Linked DNA regions of Tamandua tetradactyla. The main gene of each other region encodes a partner of the protein of the gene in region 4 in a complex. Links are inferred from orthologs where the notes say so. Each region holds a gene or a part of one and is shown on either strand. Other genes may lie near its edges. The genes, in order: TAB1, NOD2, MAP3K20 and MAPK14.

Region 1 (7,407 bases), on a different chromosome or scaffold from region 4:
TTCCTGCCCCAATGTTCTCCTCCCTCCAGGGTTTCCCCGCTTAGTAAATGGTACTACTGTTGTTCAATCCCAAACCTTGTAGTTCTTCTTGACTTCTCTTTCTCTGTCTTGCACCCATATCCTACCATCAGCATATTAGATCAGCCCTTCCTCCAAAATTCAGCCAGAATGTGATACTTCTCAACACTCTTGTCTCCACCCAGGGCCAAGCCACCACCATCCTGAACCTGGACAACTAGTAAAGGCCCCCCTGCAGGCCCTGGTCTCCCAGCCTCACTTCTCGAATATCTATTTTCAACAGAGGGGTCTTTCTCCAATCAAAGTTAGATCACATTTAGACCCGGCTCAAAACCACTCAAAACCACCCAAGACCTTTGCATTATACTTAAAATGGAACCCAAAGTCCTTATCAGGACCCGCAAGGCCCAATATGGCCCCCAGCTCCCTAGGATCTTCCTACCACTACCCACTCCCACCCTTCAACACCCTCCACTCTAGCCCTGTGGCCTCCAAACAGACAGGCCTTTGCACCCCCTGCTTCCTCAGGCAGGAACACCCCCCATATCCATTAGGCTTGCTTCTGCTACTTCATCGGGTCATCCCTGTCCAAAATGGCCCCTCCACCATTCTCTGAATCCTCACGGCACCTCTTGATGTTACACTGTTGTAGATATTCTCTTATCATATAAGAGCTATATTGGTTCACCGTTTGTTGTCTACATTCTAGAAAGTTCCTTGAGGGTAGTGTCTTTTGCATCTCTGCAGTGCCTGCACATAACAGTGCTCAGTGATGCTGGAGGAATGAATAGTATGTTCTCACTTATTCACAGCACACTCAGCTCAAAGACCTTCTGAAGTGCCACACTAGCTGGGAATGAAAGGTGAAATTCCTCAGGACCACATTCCATGATACCAGATACTCTGCTACCTGGTTCCGTACACTCTTCCAGCCCTCTGACAGCAACTCCCCTGCCATTCCCACAAGCCCTGCCCTTCCTGCAAGCCCACTCTGACCTGGTCAAACTAGGCCACATCTCAGCCCCTCAGCACAAAAACATGTAGTACTATCCTCTTGGAATGTCTCCCTTTTCCTCTGCCTGGAAAACTCCCACCCTCCTTTAAAGACTTTAAAGTTTTCTGCTGCCTCTGCAGGACTCCCAACACATGTTCACACTGACACCAGAGAACCTAACACACTGTCTCAGCAGCATTTGGCTCCTTCTCCCAAGCTGGACTAGGAATATGGTGAAGGTCGACACTTGATCTTACTCCACCTTCAGATCTCCAGGCACAGATTCAGGACAACATGAGGGCAGGTAAGCAGCCCCATCTTCCACCTGGCCCTCTCCTCTGTGGACAGCAGAGATGAGCTGCTCATCATCAGAGTAAAAGAGGGTAGAAGGGGCCTTGTGTGGACATCCCTGACACCCCCTTGCTTTCATCACCCTGACAAATATTTAAAGTTAACTAGTCTATCTTTAAAAAGCACCAGGAAAGATTCTACAACCACCCCCAGAAATACATTCCAGAGCTAATAAAGCGTGCCTTCTATCTAACCCAAGGCCCTTGGTCTCCATCATGCCTAGAGGGGACAGAAGCTGGCAGCCAACCTCGTCTGTACAACCCAGACAGCCACTCTCTCCTAGCAAATCCAAGCCAGCCTGCAGAATTTATCAGTTATAAACCATTCTCTTAACACTACAATCCAGCATGCATTTTGGGAATGCTTATTACAATGGGAACATTCATAAGGGGCCCCTACTCTCCAGGAGGTTACAAAGTAGAAGATGCCAGGCCTAACTTACCAACTGGAGCAGCAGTAAAATATAGGACTGTGGAGGAGAAGAGCATTATCCCCACCAGGGAGACCTGGGGAGGTTTCCTGGGGGAGCAACTTCAAGACTGCTTCCAGACAGTCTACATGAATTCTCAGTATACAGTAGTGAAGGTCACCCCACCCTCAATTCCTTCCGGGGTGGGGGGAGGGGAGTGTTAATGCATCTCTAAGGCCAAAGCTTGGCACTGGGCCTGGCTACAAATGCTTTAATCATTATATTTATTGCGTGCCTGGCACATAATGGGGTCCTAATGACATGATGATAAGCAAGAGACCACAAGTCCCGGTCTTCAAGTTCACTTTCTAGTACCGGAAGCAGACAAATCCAGAAGCAATTACAAGAGTGCCACAGCTGAGAGGACCCAGGAGTTCAGGGCTCAACTCTGATAGGTCAAAATAGGTCTGTGGTGCGGACACGTGTGCACCTATTTGTGCACGCATGTTAGGAGGATGCAGGGGCTTGAGGCAAAATCAGTACCAAACCCATGGGTGTCCAGATGGGAATCTCATCCATGCTACCTTCCAGATAAAGAAACTGAGACGGAAGGATACAATAAGTCAGAGCCAGGACTAGAAGCCAGGTTGCCACTATCCCAGTCATTCCTTCAGTCTAGCCTAGAGGATAAGAAGGGCTTCTGCAATCAACTGAATCCTGCCTCTGCCACCTATCAGCCAAGTGGCTTTGGGGAAATGACCAACTCTCTGTGCCTCAGTTTCCTCATCTGTAAAGCAGGAAGAACAGCACTAATTCCATGGGGCTGTTATGAAACTTACATTTTCAAACATGAAGCAATTAGCACACTGCTTGGAGTACAGTAAGCAGTTTATGAGTGGGTGCTGCTGGCATTATTGTCATTGCACAACTACTCTGTGCCGGGGTGGCCTCACGACCCGGACTTTCTCTTCGGGCTGGGAGAACGCTTCCACCCTCGACGCCCCGCAGTGAGGAGCCCGGCACCCTTGACGCTAGGGGACGCTGGGACCGGGAAGCCCGGAACACCCCCTCACCCCAACCTCCCGGCCAGCAGCGCGCAGGCGCGGGACTCCCTTCGCCGAACGGGGTCGCGCACGCAACGCGTACCCCCGACCTCAAGAGTGAGGGGGGCTAGCCCTGGGAGAGAGGAAGGCGGCGATAACATGCCCGGGAGAGGGAGGCGGTCCAAAAGCGGAGAGGAGACGCTCCTGGACCGGAAAGGCCCCCTCCCGGGCTCCCAACCCTCGGCCCGGAGAGCGGATCGGTTCCTCACACTCTGCAGCAAGCTCCTCCTCTGCGCCGCCATCTTGGAGGGACCCCCGCGGACGCGCCAGCTTCCCGGCAGAGCAGGCGAAATAGGCGGCTAGAGTGGCCTGCAGGAGGCGTGGAGGACCGCGCTGCCAGGAGCATGCGCCCAGCGCCACCTCACGGCCGAAGTGGGACGGGACTGCAGAGGGGCGTATACGCAGGCGCGCTCTTCCACCTTTTCTCTCTGAGAGGTAAAGGGAGATAACATGTAGCAAAGATGGTCACTTACCTTAAGTGATTGCCTCTCGCCCATCTTTATTTGCTCACTTTCTCCAGAACGCCTTTCAGGTGGGATTCCTAAAGCCCCGGATTAGGATTCTTTATGAACGCAATGAGACAGGAGTAGGGGGCGGGGGGGCGGGGATGAAGAGCAGGAGTTCATTCATTCATTCAGCAAATACTCATTGGATGACCGCACCGCGAAAGACAAACCCTCAAGGAGCTAGCATTTCAAATGGTGCTAAAGAATTTGGAAGAAGTTTATGGGTAGCAGCGTGGGAGTATTGACGAGGATCCAGTCTGCGGAAGTCCCGCTTGAGCTGAATTCTGAGGGAGGAATAGGCTTTAACTGGCAACAGGGAAGGGCCGACCAGGCAGATGGGACAGCGAGTACAAAAGCTCCAAGGAAAGGAGTTGCCAGAATGTGTGGGGTGAGAACGGAGGTGTAGGAGGGTGAGATGAAGGGGTGGTAGTCAAGCCGTGACCATTGCAGGCTCCAGGCGAGAGTTTGGCTTTTTACCCAGAAGACATGAGGAAGTCATTGACAACTTCTAAGCAAGACAGTGACAAGATCCCATTGGTAGAAAGATCCCTTGACTACTGTGTACAAATGGATTTTTAGGGGGGTTGATTGGAAGCAAAGCAGGAAGACCCAAGTAGAGGACTGTTGTAAGAGTTCTAGGTGAGAAATGTTAGAAGTTTGAATTGGCTGACGGCAGTGAGTGGATTTTATTTAGGAGATGAAATTGTAAGGGCCTAAAGATGGATTGGTTGTGGGTAGTCATGGGAAGAGATGTTTCAAAGGTGTCTCCCAGATTCCTTGCAAGAGCAGCTAGGTTTGGGGGAAGGAAGAAGGTAATGAACATGAGTTCATTTTGGACATGTCGAATTTGAAGTGCTTTTGAGACACGCAGGTAGAGAAGTCAAGTCAATCATTGGATAGAGAGGACAAGAGCTCAGAGCAGAGGCTCAGCTGGCAAAGACAACAGAGAGCAAGCGGCCAGTAAGCTAGGGAGAGCATAAGGTGACACTAAAGCCAAGGTGAGGAGTGTCCAGGGAGGCCCTGCTTTTGAGAGACCTAGTTAGAAGAGAACTGAAAAAAAAAATCAATTAAATTTAGCAGTGCAGAATACCTTGGCCCAGGCAATTCACGCAGAATGGTAGGACAGAAGCCCCAAAACAGTGAGTCAAGGAATGGCTGAGAAATAGAGATGTGGAAACCTTCAGAACAGGTGATTCTTCCCAATTGGTGAAAGGTGAAGAAGAGTCAGAGAAGGAGGACATGGGAAGGGGACAGGGAATGGAGGGAGAGATTTTCTTTTACATTTGGAGAAACTTGAGCCTATTTAAATGCTAAAGAAAAGGCTTAATAGAGAAGAGTTGATGATTTAGAAGCGAGAAAGAGTGGGAGGCAATCCAGGGCTGTGGTGGTGGCTCATCTCACTGTCCTACCAATGTAGCATCACATGGCCTAAAATAGCTGCTAGGGCTCCAGCCATTTTGTCCATGCTCAGTCATGGACTTTTTAATTAAACAAATATTTATGTGCAAGCATCACCTCTCCCTTCCCTTTTTAAAAAACTTTAAAGAATATTTTAAATAATTTCAAACATACAGGACAGTTGCAAAAATAATACAAACCCCATATAGAGAATTCCAACATACCCCTAGCCCCCAGATGCATAGATACACCAATTTTAATATTTTGCTACTTTTGTTTTATATCCTATCTGTTATCTATTTATCTTCTGAATATTTGAGAATAGGTTGTACACATGGTACTCCTTGAACCAAAACACTCCCATGTATATTTCCTACAAACAAGGATACTTACGTAATCACCTTAAGTGCAGTTATCAAGTTCAAGGAATTTAACATTGATATGAAGCTTACATTCTATATTCTAATTTTTCTTATGTCTCAATAATGTCCTTTTGGGTCTTTTCTCCTCTATTCTTAGATCCCATCCAATATCATGTGTTGCATTTAATTGTCATTTTCTCTTTAATTTCTCTTTCTTTTGTTTTAATTGTGGAAAGATATATAAAACATAAATCTTCCCATCCCAACCCCTCCCAGGCTTATTATTCAGTGGAGTAATCACATTCACACTATGGCAGAACCTTTGTCACCACCCATTACTAAAACTTTCCCTTTACCCCAAACAGAAAACCTGAAATAATTTTTCCTTAACTCCCCATTGCCCCTGCCCTCCCACCCCTGATAACCTGCATTCTACTTTCTGTCTCTGTGTTTGCATGTTCTCTGATATTTTCTTTGCGGTCACCATGGAACTTAAATTTGACATCCTAAATCTATAACAACCACTTTTGATTTGATACCAACCCAACTTCAGTAACACACATAAATTATGTTCCTATAGCCCTCCATTCCCCCATATACATATTTATATGTTACGAATCCAAAACCATTTATTTAGTATTACATTTTATACATTTCCCTTTTAAATCCTGTAGGAATTAAAAATGTAGTTACAAATTTAAAAATATAATAGTACTGGTATTTATATATACCCATGTCATTAAATTTACCAGTGATCTTTATTTGTTCATGTGGCTTCAGCCTATTATGCAGTGTCTTTTCCTTTCAACCTGCAGAACTCCTCTTAATATTTCTTGTAGGACTGATCTAGTGCTGACCAATTCCTTCAGCTTTTGTTTATCTTGCAATGTCTTAATCTCTTCCTAATTTTTTTTCCCTATAGGTGCATGATCCAGGAATCAAAGCCAGGTCTCCTGCGTGGAAGGTGAGCATTCTACCACTGAACCATCCACGCACCCTCTTCCTCATTTTTGAAAGATAGTTTTGCTGGATATAGAATTCTTGGTTGGCAGTTTTTTTGCTTTTAGCACGTTAAGTATGTCCTCCCACTGCCTTCTGCCTCCATGGTTTCCAATGAGAAATCAGAATTGCGGAATTCTCTATTTTTAACATTTGATAATTTGGAACAGTGTAGGTCTTTTTAGGTTTAACCCATTTGGAGTTCACTAAATGTCTTGGATGTGTATATTCATTTTTTCCATTTAATGTGGGATTTTTTCAACTTTTATTTCTTTGAATATTCTCTCTGTCCCTTTCTTTTCCTTCTGGGACTCCCACAAAGCATATAATGGCAACTTGATGGTGTCCCACATCTTCCTCAGGCTCTGTTCACTTTTTGTTCTTTGTTCTTTTTGCTCCTCAGACTGGATGCTTTCAATTGTCTTATCTTCAGGTTTGCTGATTCATTCTTCTGCCAGCTCCAATCAGCTATGGAAGCCCTCTAGGCAATTTTTAATTTGTTACTATGGTCTTCAGCTCTGTTTGGCTCCTTTTCATAATTTCCATCTTCCTATTTATATTCTCTTTGTGTTCATCTATCATCTTCCTGATTTCCTTTGTCCATGTTTCCTTTAGCTCTTTGAGCATATATAGGGCCATTTTTTTAAACTTTTTTTATTGAAAAAAATATATATACAAAGCAAAGAAAGAAAAAAAGCAATAATTTTCGAAGCACATGTCAACAAGTAGTTACAGAACAGATCCCAGAGTTTGGCATGGGCTACCATTCCACTATCTCAGATTTTTTTCTTCTAACTGCTCCAAAACACTGGAGGCTAGAAGGAATATTAATATAGTAATTCAGCAGCCATACTTGTTTGTTAAATCCCATTTCTTCTGTTATACCTTCTCCTTCTTTAATCCTTCTCTCAATATATAGGGATCTTTGGGCAATGCCCATTCTAACTTTTCCATGTTGAGAAGGGATGTCAACACTAAAAGATATGGGGATGAAATTAATTGCTAATCTTGGAGAGGCTGGTCCTTCTGAGTTTCAGGATTTAGCTGACCTAGGAACCCCCTGGGAATTATATGTTCCAGAAAGGCAAACCTAGCGCATGAAACATTTATAGATTCTTGGTCCAAGCCCTAGGTGTTCTTAAGAGTCAACAAGAGTGATGTTGATTGGGGTTTAGCAAACCATGCCAATTTGCACTATCTAACTGAAACTTGCATAAGAGTAGCCTCCAGTATAGCCTCTTGACTGTATTTGATCTCTCTTAGCCAC
Region 2 (8,344 bases), on a different chromosome or scaffold from region 4:
AAAACACAGGGTCAAGCTTGTCCCCTGGCCCAGTTCTGAGCTCTGATACTTCCTTCCTTCCAGAGACCACAGCAGGGCCAGGCTTTCTCTGGGGCCCACGCTCTGCTTACATACTGACACCCCAGTCTCCTGGTCTTGCAGCAGGAGAGGAAGGGAGGACCAGGGAAGCTGCCCTTGCTCTTAGCTCCTGGGAAGCTGGTGCCAATCTTCTCGCCCCACTCCCAGCCATCCCCCATTCTGGTCCCCCCCTTCCCAGGCTGTCATTCCACATTAGCACACAGACACACTGTCATTTCTCCCCTCTCAAAATGTAAAGCCTCTCCCGTTCCCCTTTCTGCTACAACCCTATTTCTCTGTTCTTCTAACAGCAGGCCTCCTGTCCTCTGCCTCTACCACTGCATCCCAGTCCTCATCTCCCCTCCCCTCCATCAGGTTTTCGCCCCACCACTCCATCGAGACTGCTTTTGTCAAAGTCATCAGCCACGCCACCTTGCTCGATTCACAGCCCTCATCTTGCTCATTCTGCTGAAGGCATTTGTCATAATTACTGTCCTCTCCTCCTTGAAGAACGTTCCTCCTTAGAGCCCAGGACACTGCCCTCTGCTCTTTCTCAGTCCTAGTGCTAGTCCAGGGGTCCCTGAATAGACCCCTCTTCTCCCATCCCTCGCTCTCTAAGTGGGCTCCCCTGCTCTTATGGCTTACCTACTAACACTGTGTGTTGGCACCCCAAATTTCATTTCTTGCTCCCCCCACATGCCTCAACTTTTCCCAGCTGCTTACTGGACCTCTTTACATGGATGTCCAATAGGCAACCCAAACTTAGCAAGTACCAGACCAAACTCCTTTCTTCTCCCTAAACAGCTCCTGGCACAGGCATCCCTATCTCAGCTGACCATACCTCCAAATGTCCAGGCGCTCAGGCCAAAAGCCTGACTCCCACCCCTCCTTGTGCATCCCAAATCCTATCGAACCTACCTTCTAAGTACATCCCAAATCAGAAAATCTGATCATTGCTCGCCACCTCTTTCCAGGCCCCATGGTTTCTCCCCTGAATAATGGCAGTAGACCTCTTTGGTCCACTACTTCTGCCCTCACCCCTCTACAGTCTATCCTCCATCCCCCAGCCAGATGAGCTTGTGAAACCCCAGATCGGAGCAAGTGTCTCCTCCAGTGACACCCATTGCAATCAAGTGAAAACAAAAATCTTCCCCGTGACCTTTAGGGCCATACACTATGGACACACACACACACACACACACACACACACACACACACACACACACCAACCCTTACTTTTCTGAACTCGTTTCCTACTAACCCCCCACCTGTTCCTCATCCACCCAGCTCTGGACACACCGGCTTCTGCCTCAGGACCTTTGCACATGCTCCTCCCTCTATTGGCACACTCTCCCTCCCCCAGACATTGACATGGCTCACCCCTCACCTCCATCAAGGCTTTGCTCAGTTGTCACCATCTCAGAGGGACAGTCCCTGACTAGGCTACATAAAACTGCAATACCCCACCCCATCATCCTTCCCTGCTTTCTTCTCCATGGCATACTTCTCACCACCTGACATACTATGCATTCACCTATTTGATTGCTTTTGACTGCTTTCGAGAATGTGAACCCTATGAAGGCAGACAGTTTCGTCTATTTTCTTCATTACTCTATCCCCATGTCTCATACAATGCATCAATCAGGATTTTTCAAATAAAGGAATAAATTTCCTCTGTATGGCTCCAGCAGGCAGAAGTGGAGCCAAGAAGGGGGATCTGCAAGCCCTGGGCTTTAGCTGAGTGTAGTGAGAACTGCAGGACTCATAAGCAATGAGGTCCCTGTCACCAGGCAGACGCAACAGAGGTTGGGCCAGCACTCTGCAGGCATTCAGCCCTGGGTGGGAGGGAGGTGGGCTAGAGGAGATTCCTTCCACCTTCAAATTCCAACATGTAGAGAGGAAAAGGGGGCCTTGAGTAACCAGCAAACTCAGGGGCCGCTGGGGTCCCCAGCAGACCGATTCAGGCAGCGGAGCAGAGGCCATGGAAGGCCACTCTGGTCTTCACCAAGCGCCGGGGAGGGGCGGCAGGGCAGGCTTTTTCCCTTCTATGGAATAAGGACTCTTCAAGGAGCCAGCCCCTGGGGAAACTGAGGCAAAGGGCAGGAAGAAGCCAAAGGGCCCCAAACAGAGGAAAGAGGCCCAGGGCAGCCTCAGAGCCAGGGGTCTAGCTACCAGCCCTCAGCCAGCTGCAGAAGATGCCGCCCGAGGGGACCTGGGGAGTTTTCTGAGTTTGTTGGCAAGTAAGAAGGACAAGAGGGCTGCAGTGGGGAGAGCGAATGACTCAGAGGATGCGGTGCTGGGCAGCAGATGGAGTGGGGATAGGGGGTGAACTGGGAAAACTAAGAAGAAGGAGCCCCCATAATATTTATAGGGCCAGAGGTGGGGCTAGAGATTATCCAAGCAGACTCTCCCACATACACCCAACCATTCACAGGTATGGGAAGATGGGGAAACTAAGGCCCAGAGTGAAGAAGGGTAACTACAAAGGGTGATCCCACTGAGACGCTGGGTGTCTGGTCTCCTCACTCCCAGCCCAGAGCCTCAAGACTTCACAACTCAGAGGTTCTGTCCCCACTACTCTGGTGACCCCCAAGTCAAGCACCCTCTCCAGACATCAGGGAACCTGGGAGGTGGTGAGTCCCACCCATGCCCCCAAGTCTCCTCATCATCTGTATCCACAACCCACCAGGTGGCTTCCCAACCTTGAGACATTCTCTTTTCTCTGTCCCCCATGTATACCCCGGGAGTCCTCAAAGGCAAACCGAGGCGCACCCTCCCCAAATCCAGCGACTATAACGGCTCTGAAGCCAGGCGTCCGACTGCCAGGGGGCAGGACACTCGGCGCCCACTGTCTCCCCGCCGCCTGGGCGCTGGGCGCAGACTTCGCGCCCGGAGCAGACTTCGCGCCCGGAGCGAGCACTCACCGCGGAGCCGCCGGCGTCCCGAATCCTCAGCCCGGGCTCGGGAAGCGTCTCCCGCCTCTGGCTCCGGCTCCCGCCGCGCGGGTCTTCGGCTCCGCCCCGCCGTGTCCCCGCCCCGGGCCCGTCCCACTGCCGGGCACCCCGCCCGCCGCGCCGCTGCCAGGCGGGCCACACCCGCTCCCCGCCCCAGAGCGCCCGCGTCCCGGGGGGCCAGGAACTCACCTGAGACCTGAGAGTGGCTGGGAGGGAGTCCGGAGACAAGTCTCTCGGGACACACACACCCTCCAAAACACAGACACACGCACGTGCGGTGACATCCTTTGGTGTTATACTAACCTGTGCATCCTTGGGGGAACTAGTCAATCCAGTTTTTGAAAGTCTTAAAATTGCGAAGTTCCCAGAACAATGCTGTAGGTACGTGATGGTTTACACACCTTCCATTTTTCTCTCCACCTTGTAAGTTGGCGAGAGAGGTCTCAGTTTAGTTTAGTAGGGCTGAGCTCTTCTAGAACACAGCCTCGTCTCCTTGTCGCTGCAGCAATATGAAACCAGAAGCTAACAGCACTGTCTTGTTTTCAGTCTATTTATTTTTTGATTTCCTATTCTACAGAGCAAGTGACACTACTTTGTCAAGTAAGGAATATCAATGTTCCTTTTATACACTTCTATCTGGCTTTTTAAAAAATGTGAAGTCAATTTCAAGAAAAATAATGAAAATAACATGTATATAGCACTTCCTGTGTGCCAGGCTTTACATAGATTCACAGAGTGAACTATTAAAATCCCAGATTTTCAGATGAGGAAATTGAAACACAGAGTCATTCTCCTATCCCAGATTTCAAAGTTGTGACGGCAGAGCCACGTCCTGCCCCCAAGGTGTCTAGACCAAAGAGTGTATTCTAAAACACTGCCCTGCATTGCTTCCGGGTAAATACCTGCACAAGTGGGGCACGGTGGGCTGAGGCTGGGAAATGCTGAATCGAAAGACTCATTCTTTCCTTGATTTTCATCAAGGAAATCATTCCAGATGGGGGACAAATCTACCCACAAGGATGCCCTTAACAGTGAAAGGCTGGAAACCTCAATGTCCAATCCTATGAGATGGCTTAAAGGACACGACGGAGCCTCTGAACCTGGAGAACTCAATCGCCATGTGTTCTCTGCTACCCCACATCCTAGGAAAAAATTATTCAGCTTGACCTTCAAAATGGATCCAGAATGCAGCCGCTTCTTACCATGTCCACCATGACCACCTGGGTCTAAATTACCATCATCTCTCCTCCAGATTATAGCAAGCACTCCTAGCAGTTCTCTATGGTTTCAACCATAGTTTTTCTTCAACACAGCAGCCAGAGTCCATTAAAAAAAAAAAAGGCTAATTAGGTCCCTCCTCTGCTCAAACCCCTCCAATGGTTCCATTTCATTCATATTCATAGTCAAAGCCAAGTCCTACTGTCAGTATTTGTCACCCTGTGACCTCTCCAAATCCTCCTGTCCTCGCTCACTCTGCTCCAGCCACGTGGGCCTCCCGGACATTCCTGGGATGTGCCAACCCTGCGGCCACCTCCAGGCCTTTGCATTTGCTGTTTCCTCTGCCTGGAATGCTCTTCCTCTAAAATCCATGTGGCTGCCTCCTCCACCTCTTTCAGGTCTTTGCTTAAATATGACTTTCACAGGGACGCCTTCTCTGGCTCTCCCCTACAAAATTGCGACCTGCCCCCCACATCCCTTTCCCTGCATTTTGTAATTTTCTCCATAGCACTTATCTCCATATAACACACTATATGTCCTACTTATTTTCTTTGTCAATCTCTCCCCGCTGGGACTTGAAACAGGAACCTTTCTGCGTCATTCGTTTCCTTATTCCAGGGTCTAGAACAGGACCTGGTAAGCTATAAATATTTGAATGAATGTCCTAAAAACAATGCAGTAATTGTAATAACAAATGAACTACTGCAACCCACAAAAACACCAATGAATCTCATGGGCAAAATGTTGAGTAGAAGAAGTCATATGCAAAGGCATACTTACCATCTGTTATCAATTGTATAAAGTTCAGAAGCAGGCAAAACTAAGTGGTAGGGGCCAGGATAACAGTTACCATGGGGTGGAGGTAATGACTGAGAAGGGGCATGGGGAGCTTCCAGGATGCAAATAATGTTCTGTATTTTGGTCTGAGTGGCAGTTACACAGGTGTGAATACTTTCTGAAAATTCATGGCTAAACACTTACAGTGTTTGCACTTTTCTTTGTATTACTTATATTTCAATAAGCCTTTATTATTGTTATTTTTTTGGTATGTTGTATGGCAGGGTCACATTTCATTATTTTTCCATGTGAGTATCCTGTTACTACAGCACCATTTGTTGAATTTTTTTGTTTGTTTGTTGTTGGCTTGTTTTTGGTTGTTCGTTTGGGGAAAGTGCATGACCCGGGAATCAAACCCAGATCTCCTGCATGGCAGGTGAGAATTCTACCACTAAATTACCCTTGCACCCCCAATAAAGCTTTATTTTTAAAAGATGCTTATAGATATATGTTCATTAGCATGGAAAGATGCCATAATATAATATCAGTTTTCTAAATGGGTTGCTATTTGAAAAGGGTGCCAAGATATTCAATGGGGAAAGATTGTATCTTTTCAACAAATGATGCTAGATAGCCACATAAAAAAGAATGAAGTTGGGCCCCTACCTCACACCAAATACAAAAATTAACTGAAAACTGGTTGAGGACTTAAATAAAAGAGCTAAAACTGGAAAATTCATAGAAGAAAAAATAGGAGTAAAACTTCATGACCTTCGATGGGGCAATGGTTTCTCAGCTGTGACACCTAAAGCATACACAATCAAAGAAAAAATAATAAATTGGACTTCATCAGAATTAAAAACTTTATCTTTCAAAGACATTATCAAGAAAGTCAAAAGATACCCACAGAATGATAGAAAATATTTGCAAAGTCGTATAGTCAAGGATCTAGTGACTAGAATAAAGAACTCTTACAACTTAGCAATTTTGATAAGTAACCCAATTTTTTTTAATGGGCAAAGGATTTGAATAGGTGTTTATCAAATATATATATATATATATACAAATGAACATGAAAAGACGTTCAATGTCATTAGTCAATAGGGAAATGCAAATCAAAACCACGTGAGATACCATTCCATATCCAGTAGGATGGCTATACTAAAAAACAGAGAATAACAAATGTGGGGAAGAATGTGGAAAAATGGAAACCCTCATACACTGCTGCTGGGGATGTAAAATGGTGCGGCCACTTTGGAAAAACAGTTTGATAAATCCTCAAAAAGTTAAACATATACTTACCAATGACCAGGCAGCTCAATCCTAAGTATATACTCAAGAGAACTGAAAACATAGGTTCACATAAAAACTTGTACATGAATGTTCACAGTAGCATTATTTATGGTAGCCTAAAACTGGAAGCAAATGTCCATCAGCGGGTGAATGGATAAACAAGATGTTATATATCCGTGCAATGGAATATTAGTCAGCCTAAAAAGGAATGAAGTTTGGATATATGTGACAACAGGGATGAACCTTGAAGACATTACACTAAGTGAAAGAAACCAGACACAAAAGGCCACATGTTGTATGGTCCAGGTTCTAGTTTGCTAGCTGCCGGAATGCAAAATACCAGAAATGGAATGGCTTTTAAAAGGGGAATTTAATAAGTGGCTAGTGTAAAGTTCTAAGGGCAAGAAAATGTCCCAATTAAAACAAGTCTATAGAAATGTCCAATCAAAGGCATGCATCCAGGGATGAAGTTCAGGGTTTCTCTCCCAAGTGAGAAGGCACATGGCAAACACAGTCAGGGTTCTTTCTCTCTCAGCTGGAAGGGCACATGGCAAACACGGCATCATCTGCTAGCTTTCTCTCCTGGCTTCCAGTTTCATGAAGCTCCCCAGGAAGTGTTTTCCTTTTTCATCTCCAAAGGTCGCTGGCTCATGGATTCTCTGCTTCGTGGTGCTGCAGCATTCTCTGCTCTCTCCAAATCTCTTTCATTCTCCAAAATGTTTCCTCTTTTATAGGACTCCAGAAACTAATGAAGACCCACCCAAATGGGTGGAGACATGTCGTCACCTAATCCAGTTTAACAACCACTCTTGATTAAATCACATCTCCAGGGAGATGCTCTGATTACAGTTTCAAACATACAGTACTGAATAGGGATTATTCTGCCTTTAGGAAATGGGATTTAGATTACAACATGGCTTTTCGAGGGGGCATACATCCTCTCAAACCTGCACAGTCCATAACTATGAAATGTCCAGAATAAACAAGTCCACAGAGACAGAAAATAGATTAGTGGTTGCTAAAGCTGGAGGGAGAGGAGATGGGGAGTGATTGCTAATGGATGCAGGGTTTCTTTTTGGGGTGATGAAATGTTCTGGAGTCAGATAATAGTGATGGTTACACAGCCTTGTGAATATACTAAAAGCCACTGAATTATACACTTTAGAAGGATGAATTTTACAGCATATGAATTATATGTCAATACAAAAAAAGTGAGTTGCAAAAATGTTTCATGCAGCATGCTCTTATTTCTGTAATAAAATCTATGAATACATGCATTTAAAAAGTCAAAAGACTATCCTTCAAAATTTATGGTTGGATTGTAAGTAGATTGTTTAAATTCTCTTTTGTTAGCTTATATTTCCTAATAAGCCCATATTGCTTGTATAATAATTTTTTAAAGCTTTCTTTTCAGTGGGTTAAGAAGCCTTTATTACCACCTCCCTGCCTGCAGGGTCCCATGCCAAAGGCAGGCAGTAGGGATGCTCTGGTGGTGTTTCTGTACTTGAGTGCCCTGACCTGGTCACCTACCAGGTAGTGCTCAGAAAGCAAGGGGACAGTCTCCAGGAGCCCCAGGCCTGAGCCCTTCCTCACTGGGAGTCACCTTCTGGGTTGTGACATTTAAAATTCTACTGGATGGGGAGGCTGGTGGAAGAATAGGTATGCCGGCTGCCTGTGTGCAAGGGCTGCCCCCAGGAGCTTGGACTGTCTCCTTCAGGTGCAAGCTGAAAGAACCCTGACAGGTGCCACCGGCTGCCGACACAGGTGGTTGCCTCGGACTTGACTGGGTGACAGTCTCCATGTCGATCCCCTGCTCCAAGCAGCTCTCAATGGGCCTCTCCCCTACCCCTCACCGACCAGAGTCCAAACCCTTCTACACGCAGGCCCAATGAATGAGTAAACGAATGGCTTTCCTACTACCCCTACTTCCACACCCACTCAGCTGCAAAAGCTTCCTTACAGCTCCTGGTATTCCCACCTCCGTGCTTTGGCTCACTCTGTGCCCCAAGGGGAGGCAACAAGGAGAGATAGCAGGGAGTGTGGAC
Region 3 (7,759 bases), on a different chromosome or scaffold from region 4:
AGTGTTCATTAATATATTAAAAGCTCTGCAAAGCCCTGTTTTAATCTTTTCTTTTTTTAATGTCTCCCTACATATATGTATTTCTGTATCTATACACACACACATACAGAGATATGTGATATATATATCATAGTGAATTTTGTTCACAACATTTTGTGCGTGTATGCATGGGCCAAGAATAACCCAGGTCTCCCACATGGCAGGCAAGACTTCTACTGCTGAACTACCATGCCCTGTAATTTCCTTTAATGTCCCTCAATTAAAGCCCACTTAGGGCAATGCTAAAGCAGGCAAATGCCTGTCTATGTTCATGTACTTAAGGCTTCAAGTCTTCAAGAGCAGGGGTTTTGTTTTATTCAATTTTACGCTTCCCACCTAGAGTCATGCACAATGCCTGGAATTTACTAGAAAAAATTTTAAATGTTTATTAAATAAATCTTTCTGAAGTCATTATTGTTCACATTTCACCATGTCATAAACCTCAATATCTGCTGTAAAATTTTTGCCATTATATATTTTTCCTCTTTGAATGATTTTCAAAGGTTAACAAATGAAGCTGATGGTCCATTCCTTGGGCATCCTTCCTCTAATTAAAGAATTGCTTGTTTGCTCCTACCTTACTGTCAAGCCAGCCTCCTATTTATGACAGTCTCCTTCCCCCAATTTGCTGGCAATTGACCCTTATGACCTTATTTTAGTTTAGTTTTAACATCATTCAAAATTAATACATGTTCCCCCAACTATGTTCCCCTTGGTCTTCTAAAGGAGAATAACTATTGCTGCCTTTACTAAAGATAAGAGATTTTAATTATGTCTGGCTTCTTTGAAAATGCATTAAACTCCATTATTCAAGGTAGTGATGGAGAAGTAAAAGAATTCACACTCTAAAAATATAGAGTAGTAGCCAAGCAACCCTTCCTGAGGCAGGAGGTGCAGTTAATATTTTAAAACTTGCAAACAAGCCAGAAGAAAATGAGATACCTACAAGGTCACAAGAAGTATAATGAGGTTTGCTAGAAGATGTGAAAAAAGAAGAAAGAATGTTTTTACCAAAAGCATCTGTAGAAAATTATATATTTAAGTGATGAACATTCTTGCTTAGTAAGGTCACTGGCGGGTGTATAGGAGCTAAGATTTTCTGGCAATTTTGAATGCCTTTCAGGTTAAATAGGCTTTTCCTGAATTCAATAGCATTTCCTTCTAAGATATGAATGCAGATCAATGACTACTAGTGTGAGAAAATTAAAAAGAAGTGTCATTATCGTTTCAAATTGTGCTTATAATTCAAAAAATCAGCATAGAATATGCAATGTGGCAAAATGAACCCCTACTTTGAATAGCTTTTCTTTTGCTGTCAATCTAAAATGTGTTAAATCTCTTGCTTCTGAGTATCTTAAAGAAGAGAATGGTGTTAGATGAGCAGGTCACAGCTTCTCTGATTTATAAACTGGTGAAGAATCATTAACTTAATTAGTATTGTTGGTTGTCTTTCCATGCATTCACTCATTTATCAGCAAATAATGACAGAGGTGCTAAATGAGTACCAGGCTTTCTGTAAGTTTGGGATTCAATGGTGAGAAAAACTAAACAAGGTCCCTGTTCTCCTGAAGTTTATCATCTAATAGGGGCATCATAAGATTAATCAAATAATCACACAAATATAAATATAGAAGTGCTTCAAGGGATACACGTGGTGTTATGAGAGCATATCATAAGGGTATTTGACTTGATCTAAGGTGAAGAAATGTTACCCGTGGAAATGGCAGTTGACCTGAACTCTGAGAGATACAGGTGCTAAGCAGAAAGAACAGGGGAATGGGTTCTAAGCAGGATAAGCCATTAGCCATTGGCAGTATGATGGACTGAAAACTCACCACGGCAGAGCAGAGAGAATATGGGAGAAAGTGGCATAAGATGTGCTGGAAGAGTTCAGAAGGGCTCAGAGTTCACAATGCCTTACAAACCTTTTTTAAGGACCTTTATCTTTAATCTCAAAGCAGTGGAAGTCTATTACAGTGCTTGAGGAAGTAGGGTGCTGTGATCAGACTTTGATTTCTGATAGTTAGCTTTTGGAGGGCACAGCCACTACTTTATATTATCACACTGTCTACCCAAAGTGTACTCTCTAATTCTTTAATTGAATGATTTTATTATCCAGGCACAAAGGCAGGGCAGAGGAGTTGTAGAGTGCTGCAGTATTTAATACTGCAAGTATTAAAAAGCAGTGGTGAACTCAGATAGCAACACGCAGTCAAACGCCATCCTTCCTCCTGACTTAGCCCACACCAGGCCATATTGGACGTATCCCGTGTCTACCTGTGCCACCCCCTTGGAAAGTTAGGCTGTGTATGGCACGGCTGCTGTGAAAAAGCAATGGTTAGTGGACCCAGGGCTCCATATGTGGAGGTCCAAACATAGAGTAGAGAAGGCTCCATTTGCCACTGTGCCCTCAACTAAGCCACATCGGCCCACGTGCAATCACAGTCCAGAAACCTTTGTCTATTCTTGCTAGCCTGTTGGTTGATGTATCAGAATACTGTTGCCTGTAGTCTGATGTTAAAGGGTGGCGGGGGGGGGAATTTTAGTAACCCCAAGAGAATAAGGTCATGGGAATGGGAGATGTGTCTGCCTTGGGCTCCTTTGCATATGTCTATCAAGCAGTTAGGGAAGGTCAAGGATACTGCTAGAGCAAGCCAGGATCTTTGTCTCCAGGCAAATACAAATTTGGAAAGATGGGGAACAAAGCTTTACCACAAAGTAAAGTGAGTACAAATCACTGAGGGTTTGTGGGCACTGGCATGGATTCACCCTACAGGCTCAAGGAAGAGATGGAGACTAGGTAGAACACAAGAGAAAACTGGAGCAAAAGTTGGTAGAAAATTCTTCAGAACAAGTTTTTTCAACACATGAGACCAAAAGAGGACTAGAAGAATCCTAATAGCTACCCACCCACCTCCTTAGCCAAAGACAGATGGCAAGAGTATCCAGGGTGATAAACACAGGGAGAATTTGCTGTTGTCAGTTTGGGGCAAAAAGTGTGAGGGTCAGATTCTGATGGTTCAGTCTTGGTGAGGAGACAAGCAGCTTTAGGATGAAGAAAGGGGTTGTTCAGTGGAATGATTAATCACATCAGTGAGTTTATGAGTTGCTGAATAACAAACTACCCCCAAATATAGTGACTTAAATAAACAACCATTTATTTAGTTCATGAGCCCATGGGTCAGCTAGGTGTTTTCTTCTAATCTGGGGCAGACATTGCTGCTCTGGGATGGGCTTATACACCTGCAGTCGGCTCACTAGGTGGTCTTGGGTGGAATGGTTCATCTCTGCTGCACGTACTCTCTCATCCCTCAGTGGGCTAGACTGGGCTTATTCACTGGGTAGCTGGCACGGGATCTGAGGGAATGAGAAGATAATCAAGAGCTCTTGAGGCCTAGGCTTGGAACTGGTGCACCATTGCTTCTACCACATTCTATGGGCCAAAGTGGGTCAAGAGACCAGCCCAGATTCAAAGGGTGGGGAAATAATTCTATTTGTTGATGTGAAGAGATGCAATGTCATGTTGCTAAGTTATGGACACAGGAAAAGAGGTAACTGCAGCCATTTCTGTAAACTGTCTACAGAGTAAAGGAACCACACATGGCTGGACAGTCTGCTGCCCTTCTTTGGGGAGAGTTTTTCAGGGCCTGGTGCTGCCAGATGTTTAAAGTTTTTCTTCACAGAACAGGGAATATAGTACTTCTTAGAGAAGTAGCATAAAATAGCAGAAAGCATATAGGCATTAAAATCTGACAGATCAGGTTTTGAATCAGTCTGGGGCACCTCTACCATATGCAGAATGTTTGTGTATGTTGGGAAAAAACGCTACCCTTCTCTCTATTGGCACAGTCCCACTGGAGACATCCCCTTCAACCAGGCTTCCTTGTGTATTCTACAGCCCTGTATCAATGCTTATGGGTAGCCCTCAGCTGTGAACTTTGGCCAATGTATTTAACTTCTGTGAGCTTCCACATCTGCAAATGGAAATTGGAATACCTCCCTCACAAAGGTTATGGTGAAGACTGAGTTAAGGTATCTAAAGTGCCCAGCATACTGAGTGCTTGGAGCTCAAGAAATATTAGTGTCTTTTCTTCCTTTCTGCTTTGAGAGACCACAGCAAAGCATACTTTAAAACATTCAAGGACTCCTGAGAATCTTCAGCCAAATCAAGTATGGAAGGATGGAAAAGGAAAGAAACTTATACAGGTGCTTTGACACCAAAATGGGATGGAAGGTTAGTTCCATAGGCCTGTATGACACATGTGGTTAGTATCCCAAATTTGGGTTACATGCAGTTTTGCAAAGTTCTTGCTGCAATAATTGAGCCAGGATATTGAATTTTGTATATATATGTGCTGGTTTTGAATTTGTGGACCCCAGAAAAGCCATGCCTTTTAATCCTCATTCAGCATTGCTGGATGGGAGTTTTTAAATTATCCATGGAGATGTGACTCACCCAATTGTGGGTGGTAACTTTTGATCAGATGGTTTCCATGGAGGTGTGTCTCCACCCACTCAAGGTGGGGTTGCTTACTGGAGTCCTTTAAGAAGGAGGCATTTTGGAAAAAGCTACAGAGTCAGCAGCCTGAGACCTTTGGAGATGAAGAAGGAAAATGTCCCCAGGGGAGCTTCATGAAACAAGAAGCTGGGAGAGAAAGCACGCAGATGCTGACAAGTTCACCATGTGCCTTTCCAGTTACGAGAGAAACCCTGATTGTCATCGGCCTTCTTGAACCAAGGTATCTTTATCTGGATGCCTTAGATTGGACATTTCTATAGGCTTGCTTTAGTTGGGACATTTTCATGGCCTTAGAACACTGGACTGGCAACTTAATAAATTCCCCTTTTTAATAAGCTGTTCTGTTTCTGGTATATTGCATTCTGGCAGCTAGCAAACTAGAACAACACACAATAAAAGTTAATTGCAGTGGGACAGAAAATATTTTAAATGAAAGAGGGAGGAGAGGTGAAAATAAATGTCCCAGACTTCTCTTACCAACATTTAAAATGTTCATATTTGAAAGAGTAGATCAGAAGCTAAACCAAAGGATAACATACATTTTTTATACATAGGTCACATTAGAAAGTAGATTTTAATCTAGCCTGGCTATTCATTTAGGTGTTCAGTCTGTGTAGCCTAGAATCAATTACACAGTGTTGTGAGATCCCTCCTAAGAAAGTAGCTCTTCATTAGTAGTTCTAATCTTTCCTCCAACTAATGTTCACAAGCCATTATAAAAACCATTTTTATTTCTGGTCTCAGGAATTAAATTGTAGGTATAAACCAAAGTGTACATTAAATTAGGGATTATTACCTGTGGTACTCTATGGGAACCAGGTGATGCTGGGTCATTTTAATTAAGAATTCATTTTCAATAATAGCACAAGCAAATGAATAACATTAAATCAACACTGAAACAGCTGGAGAGGGATGGGGTAGATTATGGGAATAACCCAGAGACTCAGTTGTTTCATAGACTTAATGTGCAGAGTTCACTTGTGTATTAGGAAAAAACATCTAAGGAACAACTATATAAACTCTCTATAATAGGGGGCATAAAAATCTTTTAAGCACCAAGAGAAGACGATTGCTGCAAGAAAAAAAGAAATTCTGTACTTTGATTTAATACAGAGTTTTAAATACAATGTTTTCTGAATGTTGACTTTGTTGGAAGATAATTTTCTGGGATATACTGATTCAGTAATTGGAGCTTTTCACCTGTCAGCTCAATGGCCATGTATTGAACACACATTATGTACCAGATACATACACCCAGTATTTTGTTTTGAATACCTGAAATGAATAGTCTCACTATTTTACTGATGAGGAACTACCAAGAGAAATTAAATATCTTGCCCAAGGTCATATGCTCAGATTATGGCAATACTGGGATTTTTGAACCAGGTATATCTGATTCCAAAGTGCATTATTAACAACAAGGTTACACTACTTGCCTCTCTTTTTGTCACTAAGAGAATTGATTATGCAGACTTTTGATGCCACAAAATAAAAATAATAGAAAAGAGTTCAGGAATCAAAGCATGAGATTAATTTTGCTGAAATATTTTAAGCAAAATTAAACAAGAGATCTGAGATGCTTTTCTCTAAAGTCTTAACTCTCAGAATAGAAGTTGGTGTGTGTGCATACATATAAATCCTCATCATAAATATCCGACATATCATATGCCATATATCAGATATTTCCATAAGAAACCTTTATTTTCACTACGCACGAATCTTGAAGCACCATGTAAAGTTTTCTAGTCACCATAAAGAATCCACTCCTAAGCAGGAAAGAGCATCAGTTGTATTTAAAATGCTTTATCCCTTAAACTGAGTGGTTGGCCTATCGATTTTCATATAATTCTCTATACCTTATTTCATTAGAAAAATGGCTCTACTGAAATCCAATATGGATTTACAAATATTTTGTAGAAAAGATGAAGAAGGGGGTTTCATTAAAGAACCCCACAGTATTTCATTTTTAAAAATTCTCATTGGACATATCTTCTCTTCTTCCAGATCTTTCTTCTTTGCTATCTGTACTCTGTTCTCCTCTTTCTACTCCCAACTTCCCCCACTCCCTCAAGTTTGAAGATTATTCTTGGGTACCCTAAACTTGCCTCCTTTTTCACACAGACCATTTAATTTTCTCAGAGCTTCTATTTCAAACTTGAAAATCTCCATCTTGGCTGAGGATTAAAATATTGTTTACACTGAAAAAAACAGAAGACCCTTCTGTTACCAGGATCCACTCTCCTTAGTAGAGCAGTATAAATGAAAAAAAAAAAAGTTATAATAGAACATAGGGAAAATAGTCTTATTTAAGGTGAAAACTGACTATAGTTCCTTCTGCCTCCTAAGGGTGGATGTCATAATCCATATCATTCTTGAATATAAATAATCAACAAATGACAGAAATGTCTGAGAAAACTAGTACTTTAAAAGAAAAGAACAAAGAAAAGTAGAGAAAAGCTGACCCCAGAAGAAAGAGAAATAATTCAGGTAACTGAATAATAATATTAGGAAATTTATAGCATGTGAAAAATGATCACTAATAATATGAATAGCTAATTTTACTGAATACTTACTCTGGGCAAGCCCTGTGTTACACACTGTACCTATACTGACTTTTCCTAACAAAACCCTTATTATAATTCCCATTTCACAGATGAAGAAACTGAGACTTAAAGAGGCTAACTAACAATACACAAGGTCACATAACTCATAAGCAGTAGATCTGGTCTCAATCTAGATCTATCTAATTCTTTTTTTTCCCTATGCTATACTGCTTTAATCTTTGTTTTAAACATTCTGAAGTCCTCATTAACATTTGTCCTGGGTCATCAAATCATCAAATTTTCATGTAATAAGATGATTCACAGTTCATCCTGACTTGCTTAAGAATCTGGGAAAGGATGAGAATTTGAATTTGGTCCCCTTCTCCATATACATATACAGAAGGCTACCAAGAAGCTGAAATCCAACCCAGGACTTCAACGATAACTGTGAATTTCATTCTGTAGCAAGGTGACTACCTTAAAACTTGTTGCATCCACATTAATCAGGACCAGAAATTTGCTGACCATCTATAGATATATGTGAGGCAACCTCCCCCAGGGGCTGGGGATGTTAGTCATAGACATCAAGCTGCGTAATATGACACACTGAAACCTGTTAGAGGGGTTTATTTAACTAAGTTGTGTAGCAAAGTGATCC
Region 4 (8,031 bases):
TCTTCAATTCTCAAATATCTAGTTTAATCATTGATAGATAACTGGCTATTTTTGATAGATAACCCAGGCTATTAACTACAAACTTACTACAAGTTAAAATAATGAAAACAGGCTTAGAAGAAAAAAAAAGTCACATCAAAGTGAGCACACTTCAGAGCAATCAAATTAGGAAACTGAAGGTATATTTGAATGACACTGCATTACCTAATATGCTTTTAGAGATTCTTTTCTGAAATAGACTTCAGGTCCAGTTCTACAAGTAGCCTAACAAAATGTGTCATTACTTTACAGTTTTAATTCCTATCTCACCTAAAACAGTATCACCAATCTAACTGCCTAATTTTTTCACCAGTCTTCAATTCAAATCCCCTAAATTATTTGAATATATTTTGACTTTTAACTAGTCCTTAAAATCCAATCTGCTCTCAAGGGAGGAGGATGGAAGAAAGTTACATAGGCACCAAAGTGGATTCTAAGAAATTTCCCAAAAACTTTTCTGTCACACTGGAAAAGTTGCTAACTAAAAGAGCAACTTCAAGTAACTACCCTGCCTAAGAAAGCATTCATTTATGAAACTAATTCTGGCATTTTCAGTCTAAAATCAGTTACATTTGTTTATAGTCAATTTTCATATAATTCCAGTTTTATTTTTCCCCACCAATATATTCTAAGTTGCATCTTAAATCCCCTTGACAGAACAAACAATAGAACAAATGAAAAACTCTGCCTCCCTGAAAGACACACAAGAAACTTAACAGTGGTTATCTCTGGGGAAGGGAACAGGGAGGCTGGGGAACAAGAAAGGAAAAGAAACTTTTCACCGAGTATCATTTATGTCTTCTGAATTTTATACAATGTAAATGTATTACTTATTTTTAAACCTGTTTAACAAAATTACTTCCAGATGCCAGGTACTGGTGGCTTCTATAAGCCAGCAAAGTAGAGTACTAAAGAAATTTGGAGCTCATTTTAAGGACATTTCACCGTAAATCTGAATCTCCTGTTTCATTGCAGAGACACACAAAAACGAAACCTTTCTTTTCAGCTAAACTCCTTTAGCTAATGTGAATCTTTTGCATCATTAAAAGCTTAAACATCATTGGAAACAAAAACAATACTACAAAAATTAGTGAATCAATTCAAGAATGTAAAAATGGAAGTAAATCTATGAGCTATTAAAGAAGCAACGATCCAAATACATCTTTGAAAACTAGGAAATGAACAAGAAATATATATAATGAACGTTAAATGCTGCAAATTATTTTAAAATGCTAACTGCCATACTGTAAAAATGGGAGAAAGATGTCAAAGGATGGTGACATCTGCAACATAATTCAAGCAGCTTGAACTAGGAAACGCAATATGATCTGTTGTTACTCACAATTGCACAATCTCAATTACTCAGAAGATTCTACCAAACAGGAAATTCATGATGTGGCTTTAAGGAACACAGGAATCATATTTAGAGATTAACACGTTCAAAAATCTGGAATTTGTTCCTAAAAAGAAAAATAACTTTGCAGGTCTTTTTTCAAAAGATCCATGGACATGAATTACTAAAGCTAACAATTAAATCTGATAGTTTCAGATCAGGCGCTCTGAAATCGTAGTAAACCTAAAATGAATCCTTGGAAATTAAAGAGAAGTTACTGAAATATTTCAGGTCTGGAAATTTTATGGTATTAATTTAATTTAAAACACGCTCCGGTTGTAAATTTAGAGTTTGCAAGTGTCTCTTTCTTCCTTTGCTGTATGTTCCTTATTCTTATGAAGATCATCATGTACCTCAGGTCATAAATGTGGATAAGTTCCTGCAAACTCTCCATAAGGAACTTTAAAAAAAAAACCTGTAGTTGCAAAAATTGTCGAACTTAAATATATTTATAACATTTCCCAACACTGTTAATAACTTTTTCATCTGGAGGGCATTCAACGGACCTTTATCTCACTTACTCCAAAAGAAAAAACTTTTGTCAAACAATACTTAAATGAGCAATGGTATGTGAATAACCACTAAGGCGGCCTGTTTCTTAAAATGCAGTGTTCCTGCAGGCACTATCACCCCACCCCACCCCCCTTGGCGGAGAGGAAATACGCTTTCAACCGAATCGGAAACACACCACTCAAGCTGGCACGGTGGAGATAAAGTCAGTATTTTAAGCTCTATGGGTCGCTGTTAATTCAAGTGCGAATTCAAAAAGAAGGCTTCTCAAAACGGGATTTCGACAGAGGGTTGCAAAAAAAAAAGCCCAGGGAGGGTTCTTTCTTCGTCAGTTTTGTTCAGATGACTGCGGTCCACCTGTCGGGTTTGCCCTTCTGCTGCTCTCTGCAGCTCCCCAAGCTGTTCGTTCACCGGGCCTGTTCCTGCGCCCTAGGATGGGAGCACCCCCGAAAGAGTTCCTCTGCTTGACGCCAGCAGAGTCCTCACCCCCGCCACCGTCCCAGACCCCAGAGCAGCAGCCTTCCAAAAAGAAACGCACAGGGGAACCAGGGCCGAGCTCCAGGCGCCGCTCTGTCCACCCCCACCCCACCGCGAACCTGCGTCCTGCATCCGGCTAACCACCAACCCGGGTGTGCAGGGTAAGGGGCAGGGGGTGCAGAAAAGGACTCAAATGCGCAGCGATGCCCTCCCCGTAGGAAAATTCCTACCGCTTGGCTCATCGCTGAGCCGTGTAGGCATGACCCTTGGGCGTGAGGGACCATCCCTGCTCAACGCGGCTTCAGGCTCGGGAATACTCACCACACCGAGCCATACGCGCCGGAGCCCACCGGAGACAGGTTCTGGTAGCGCTCGGGCACCTCCCAGATTGTCTTGTTCAGCTCCTGCCGGTAGAACGTGGGCCTCTCTTGAGACATCTTCCAGCGGCGGCCGCAAGGCGAGGAGGTGGCCCAGTGAGGCCCCCGTCTGCGCCCGCACCCGCTCGCCGGCCTTCACTGCCCGCCCGGCCGGGACCCCGCGCTGGCAGCGGGCGCAGGTGCGGCTGCTGCGGCCCCACCGACAAGCGCGCGCGGCCCCTGTCACCCGCAGAGGCTGGACGCGCTGCAGAAACCCGGGCGAGCCTGACTAAGGATAGGGCGCACTCCAAAGCTCAAGGCTGCGCCCGCCGCAGTCCCCCTGCACCCTCTCCCCGACCAGGCCGACTCCAAGCAGCGACGCCCAAATGTCTGCTCCAGCTGCAGCGCCCGCTGAGGGTCCTGTGGTAGCGGATCCAGAGCCAGCTTTCAGTAGCCTCCCGCCGCACTCTCGCGAGAACAGCTCCCGGGACACTCCGTGAGCCGAGATTTTACCCAATATGGAACATGCTCGCGGGAGGGGGCTCATAAGGAGAGAGTACGGGAAGAGCACTTATCGCGAGAGCAACAACTAGAGACGGGAGGCAAGAACTCCCAGCGTCTGGTCTCGCTTAAGAGCGCGAAGGCGGACCGGGAAGGTGTGGAGCGACTGGCAGTACTTGCCACGTGCGCCTCTTTGTGGTCGGCGGGGGAAATGCCTGGTGCTGGAAAGTGACAGGGACAAAGTGTCGGGAAAAGGGTCAAAAGATCTTGGGACTACGGGTGTAGGCACCAGCAGCCGAGCGACTGCTCAGCGGAACCTCCGATCTCCAAGAAATAACTGCATAAAAAAAGAGAAAGTTTCTGACCAGAAAACAGTTATATTCCCATCTGCTCAGGGACAGTTTGGTTTACTTTTCTGCATTCTGAAGAAATCTGTTTTATGGGCAAATATCAAGGCTGAGAATTTCCACCCAAAATTTTTGTGTGCAGAAGAATCGCTGTGGAAGTTTGCTTTAAAATGCAGATTCCCAGGACCCACCCAGAGTCTGTTTAAATAAGTCCGACGTGATCATTTTTACCGTATATATACCTTGGGTGGATCTAATTCAGGAAAGTCTCCAGCAACTCCCTTTGAGAAGCATTTTTTCGGGGTTTGAAACTGACTCCTACGCTAAAGAACGTTCCAGTGAAGAGGATTTTAAGCATATAATTCATGCCTCTCAGTTTGGACAACAGAGCGCATTGCCACAACACATTAGGCAAGTCAATTGACCTTTCTTAGACCTTAGTTCCAGCTTTTGCAAAACAGAATTCCTGCCCTACTTCCCACCTAATCGGGTCATTTGTAAGAGTTAAACAGGTTAATAAATGTGAATGGGCAAGGTATTCTAATCCATGCCTGTCCCCAGTTAGCGTTCTGTTCCTATGCCAAAATTATTACAAGAGCAGGAGAATTTATCTTAGACATAACTAGGGCCAAACCAGGCTGCTTCTCATCGCTCCTCATGATTATTCTCTTTTGTGTTATGCATCCTTTGGAGAGCTCAGACTTTGCCTGGCACTCCACAAATATTGGTTAACAAAATATGAAAAATGGCCATGATCTCAATTTAGGAGATGGTGCAGGGTCCTCAGTTCTCTTCAAGAAAAACTAAATTAAAAAGCAAACAAACAAAAAAACAGGAAAACAAGGTCATAGACGATCTGAGGAAAAAGCTTTTGCACTCAACCTGTGTTCTCCTGGTTTCTCTTGCCTGTGAAGATACACTGCCTGAGAACAGGCCAACCTGCAGGTCGAAGAACTTTCTAACAAGTAATGGAAGGTAAAAATGGGAGTGAAGGCAAAAATATGAGTGTGGAGAAATGAAAGGTGGGAGTGGGTCATCAAAAGGATGAGTGGATGCAAGAAACGATGGGGAGGTTTGGAAGTAAGAATCCTAAGACATTCATATATTTATCCAGTAAACTGAGATGATGGAGTGGGGGTGATTGAAACGGTAAAGACGAAGTGACCAATATATTCACTCATTCAGCAAATGCATATTGAATGCCTACTAAGTGGCAGCCATTTTCATTAAAGAGATGATTAAAAATCAGACACCATTGCTGCCCACATGGAATTTACAATCAACAGCAAGGCAGTCCTTCAATCATTCAACCCAACTTTATTGAGGCTTACTATGTGCACTTCACTGTTCTAGGCACTGATGATACCTCATTTTGTAAATGAGGTGAAACAATTTACAAAATGAATAATAACTCAACTATTAATACGGTAATGAGACAAACAAATGTAAAACTGCAACAGGGCCAAGCAGAAATACAAGGAATAGTGAAAGATGGTGACTGGGAAGGGAGATTGAAGGGGTGGGTACAGAAGGGGTGTGTGCCTGCGCGCTCGTGTGTGTGTGTGTGTGTGTGTGTGTGTGTGTGTGTGTGTGTGTGCAGATCAGAAGAACAGGTGCAACCGGGCGGGTGCTTTTCTCCAGTGCGGACAGGAGGCTTGTGAGTTACCGTCCGAAACTCTTCTGACCCGGGATTTAAGTGAATTAATACAGGTGAAGTGAAGGGCATAAGGCCTGGCACCAAGTAAGCCCTCCATTAAGAATAAAACCTTAAATGAATGGGAACCTAGGATCGCCTCGAGCTTTCACTATTCTTGATAGGAGGCCTATTTGTGCCAGGCCTCATGCTCCTCGCTTCACATTCGTTAATTCACTTAATGAATTAAGTATGGCCCAGGTACCTCTCTGGTGCGGATCCCCACCCCCGCTCCCATTCCCCCCGCCCGCCCAGAACTCCCGCGGGTTCGGCGGCAACGGTTCAGGAACCGCCGGCGTCCGCCGCGGCAGCGCCGCCAGCCGGGCCTGAGTTGGGTGGACCCCAGCGCCTGCACCCGCCCTCGCCGGGGAACCAGGTAAGCGGCTGCACAGAGACGCCGAGTGCTCGGAGCTGCAAGTTGTGGGCGAGGGATCGTCGCTTTCTGCAAGTCGAAGTCCCCTGGCGAGGCCAGGCACGTCGTGCACCCTCAGTCAATATATGAATGAATATATGGGAGCTTATCTTTCAGAAGTATTATCTCTATTTTGGAAGTCCGCGTTGGATAGCAATGACAAGAGACGATGTGTGCGTTTTGCAAGGGGAATCCCTTCAAAGTCTCTTGTCTGAATTGTCAGGAGCCCCCGAATTAGTCCTCTCCTGCACCTCACCTTTCCACCCCAGTCGTTTTCTGCATCCTGCCTGCCCAGAAGCGCTGCGTCCTTTCAGATCTCACTGTTTTTGTTCATTTGGGTTCTTCTGACTGATCTCCCTCACTCTTGCGCCTTTCTCTTCCTGTCAGATCCTTTTTTATCCTTCAGTGTACCCCCTTTTGAAGCTTTCTTAACAACCCTACTCTAATAACAGTGTCATGCCCCTACACCCACTACTATTACCCATTGTGTTGCATTAAAAGTGGTTTCATGTCCGATGGTAAGCTCCTAAGGGTTGCTGCCACTGTCTTATTATTCCTCTTTATGTCGCCAGTCACTAGTCAGAGAGTTGCATTGAAAGTACTAAAAGACAATGGTCTTTGCCTGTGCCTTTTCTATATTCCAAATACATTTCCTATAAAAACTTAGGCTGACAAGAGCTGTTTTACATGGAATTAAAAATGCTTATTTTTTTATTTTGGAGATGAAATTGCCTTCCCATGATTATAGAGAATGTATGATAGATGACAATATCAGAGAAAAGATGTTCTTGCAACTGAACTAGGTTTCAGGATTTCATATGAATTGGGTCAATAGAAAATTGGGTAGTATTTCAATTATGTTCTTGACTTTTAAAATAGTCAGAACACAGACTATGTAAACAAATGGATGGAGGGATGGATGGAAGGGATAGACAGATGGAAGGGACAAATATGGGGGGAGAAGGAGCTCAGTCCAAAGTGCTCATGTAGCCCTGGAAGAAGGGCTTAAGATAATTGGCTATATTTATAGCATTCCTCATACTTAATGTATATCAAAATCACCAGAAGGGCTCCTTACAAGTTCAGATTGCTGGGTCCATCCTCAGAGTTTCTGATTCAGTGGGTCTAGGAGGGGCCTATGAATTTGCATTTTTAGCAAAGTCCCAAGTGATACTGATGCTACTTGTCCAGGGACTAAGTTTCATTAGCAGAGATTAATTTCTCACTTCTAAGAGTTAATCCAGATACTGGAAACACATCATATTTGTGGAATAAGAAAATGAAAGCTTAGGTAGTTGAGACCCATGCATTACCCACCTAACTATTCCGTCTGATGGCAGAGAGCATCAGGGAATGGTTTTCTAAGTGGACACTGATCTTTAAGATTATGGGTAAAGCTTTAGCATGCTGTTGATCACACTGAGTACAGTGGCCTCATTAGACAGAGATTTTCAAGAGTCGCTAACAGAGACACCCTCCTTGTCTTAGCTGAAACATCATCATCCCATCATTGTGGTTTGGGTTCTTTTTTCTGAAATATGCATCTGCCAAATTTCACACCAAAGTGCATCTGCCACTTGTAGGTAATAGCCTCTGGTCTGCTTATCTTGTCGGGAAGGTCTTGCTAATGCATGCAAACAAGCCATAAGGGTTTCTATGAAATCACAAAAGATATAACTGAGCTGGAGAAATTCCAGAGGGGAATAAAACAAAAATGACTAAAGGAAATCATGATCATGTGTTTTCCCTCGCTGCTTTTAGCTAATCACTTGATAGGTCCTTTTAAGCCAGCTTCATAGCTTTCCACTTGCCCCTCCTTGCCATCTTCATTGTGGCCACACAGGCTTATGACTTCATTAGGTCTTCCCTGGACTACTGTATTATTGTCTCCAACTATCTTTTTGCCTCAGTCTCTCCTATCTCCAGTGCTCTCCAATAGAACTTTCTGTGATAATGAAAATGTTCTATATCTGAGCTGTCCACCAAGATAGCTACTAACCACATGTAGCTACTAAGCACTTGTAACGTGGCTAGTGCAACTGAGGAACTGAATTTTTTGTTTCATTTTAATTAGGTTAAAGTTAAATGGTCACGTGGCCAGTGGCTATCATACTGGACAGCACAGCTCTAGACCATTCCACGGACACGATTCACCTTCCCAAACTGCATCCCTATAATACTATTCCTCCTGCTCAAGCATTTCGAATAGCTATGAAACAAAATTCAGATTCAACCTAGCCTTCAAGACCCTCCAGGAATAGGCCTCAACCTTTTTTTGGTGGCCTCAACACTAAAGTTACTCC

Evidence for each region.
Region 1: the proteins of MAPK14 (region 4) and TAB1 are in contact, whole or in part, in a crystal structure (PDB 4LOP), measured with the Mus musculus proteins. The link is inferred for Tamandua tetradactyla from reciprocal best matches to the Homo sapiens genes MAPK14 and TAB1. Residues at the interface, in NP_036081.1 of Mus musculus: Gly110, Ala111, Asn115, Ile116, Cys119, Gln120, Lys121, Leu122, Thr123, Asp124, Asp125, His126, Phe129, Val158, Asn159, Glu160, Asp161, Cys162, Leu217, Thr218, Gly219, Arg220, Thr221, Leu222, Asn272, Val273, Phe274, Ile275, Gly276, Ala277; in NP_079885.2 of Mus musculus: Val385, Tyr386, Pro387, Val388, Ser389, Val390, Pro391, Tyr392, Leu405, Ser406, Leu407, Val408, Met409, Pro410.
Region 2: MAPK14 (region 4) and NOD2 share a complex: the UniProt entries of both Homo sapiens proteins name them as parts of the signaling complex. The link is inferred for Tamandua tetradactyla from reciprocal best matches to the Homo sapiens genes MAPK14 and NOD2.
Region 3: MAPK14 (region 4) and MAP3K20 share a complex: the UniProt entries of both Homo sapiens proteins name them as parts of the signaling complex. The link is inferred for Tamandua tetradactyla from reciprocal best matches to the Homo sapiens genes MAPK14 and MAP3K20.

What each region holds. Positions count from the first base shown.
Region 1 is NC_135333.1:31,924,019-31,931,425, reverse strand, and holds the start of TAB1 (TGF-beta-activated kinase 1 and MAP3K7-binding protein 1), read right to left. Parts: upstream 3,239-7,407; 5' UTR 3,118-3,238; coding exon 3,085-3,117; exon of another isoform or gene 2,624-3,084; coding exon of another isoform or gene 2,612-2,623; intron 1-2,611. UniProt on the Homo sapiens protein: Key adapter protein that plays an essential role in JNK and NF-kappa-B activation and proinflammatory cytokines production in response to stimulation with TLRs and cytokines.
Region 2 is NC_135342.1:44,463,525-44,471,868, reverse strand, and holds the start of NOD2 (nucleotide-binding oligomerization domain-containing protein 2), read right to left. Parts: upstream 3,050-8,344; 5' UTR 2,982-3,049; intron 1-2,981. UniProt on the Homo sapiens protein: Pattern recognition receptor (PRR) that detects bacterial peptidoglycan fragments and other danger signals and plays an important role in gastrointestinal immunity.
Region 3 is NC_135329.1:144,878,813-144,886,571, forward strand, and holds the start of MAP3K20 (mitogen-activated protein kinase kinase kinase 20), read left to right. Parts: upstream 1-4,614; 5' UTR 4,615-4,671; coding exon 4,672-4,778; intron 4,779-7,759. UniProt on the Homo sapiens protein: Stress-activated component of a protein kinase signal transduction cascade that promotes programmed cell death in response to various stress, such as ribosomal stress, osmotic shock and ionizing radiation.
Region 4 is NC_135331.1:92,713,924-92,721,954, reverse strand, and holds the start of MAPK14 (mitogen-activated protein kinase 14), read right to left. Parts: upstream 3,318-8,031; 5' UTR 2,857-3,317; coding exon 2,741-2,856; intron 1-2,740. UniProt on the Homo sapiens protein: Serine/threonine kinase which acts as an essential component of the MAP kinase signal transduction pathway.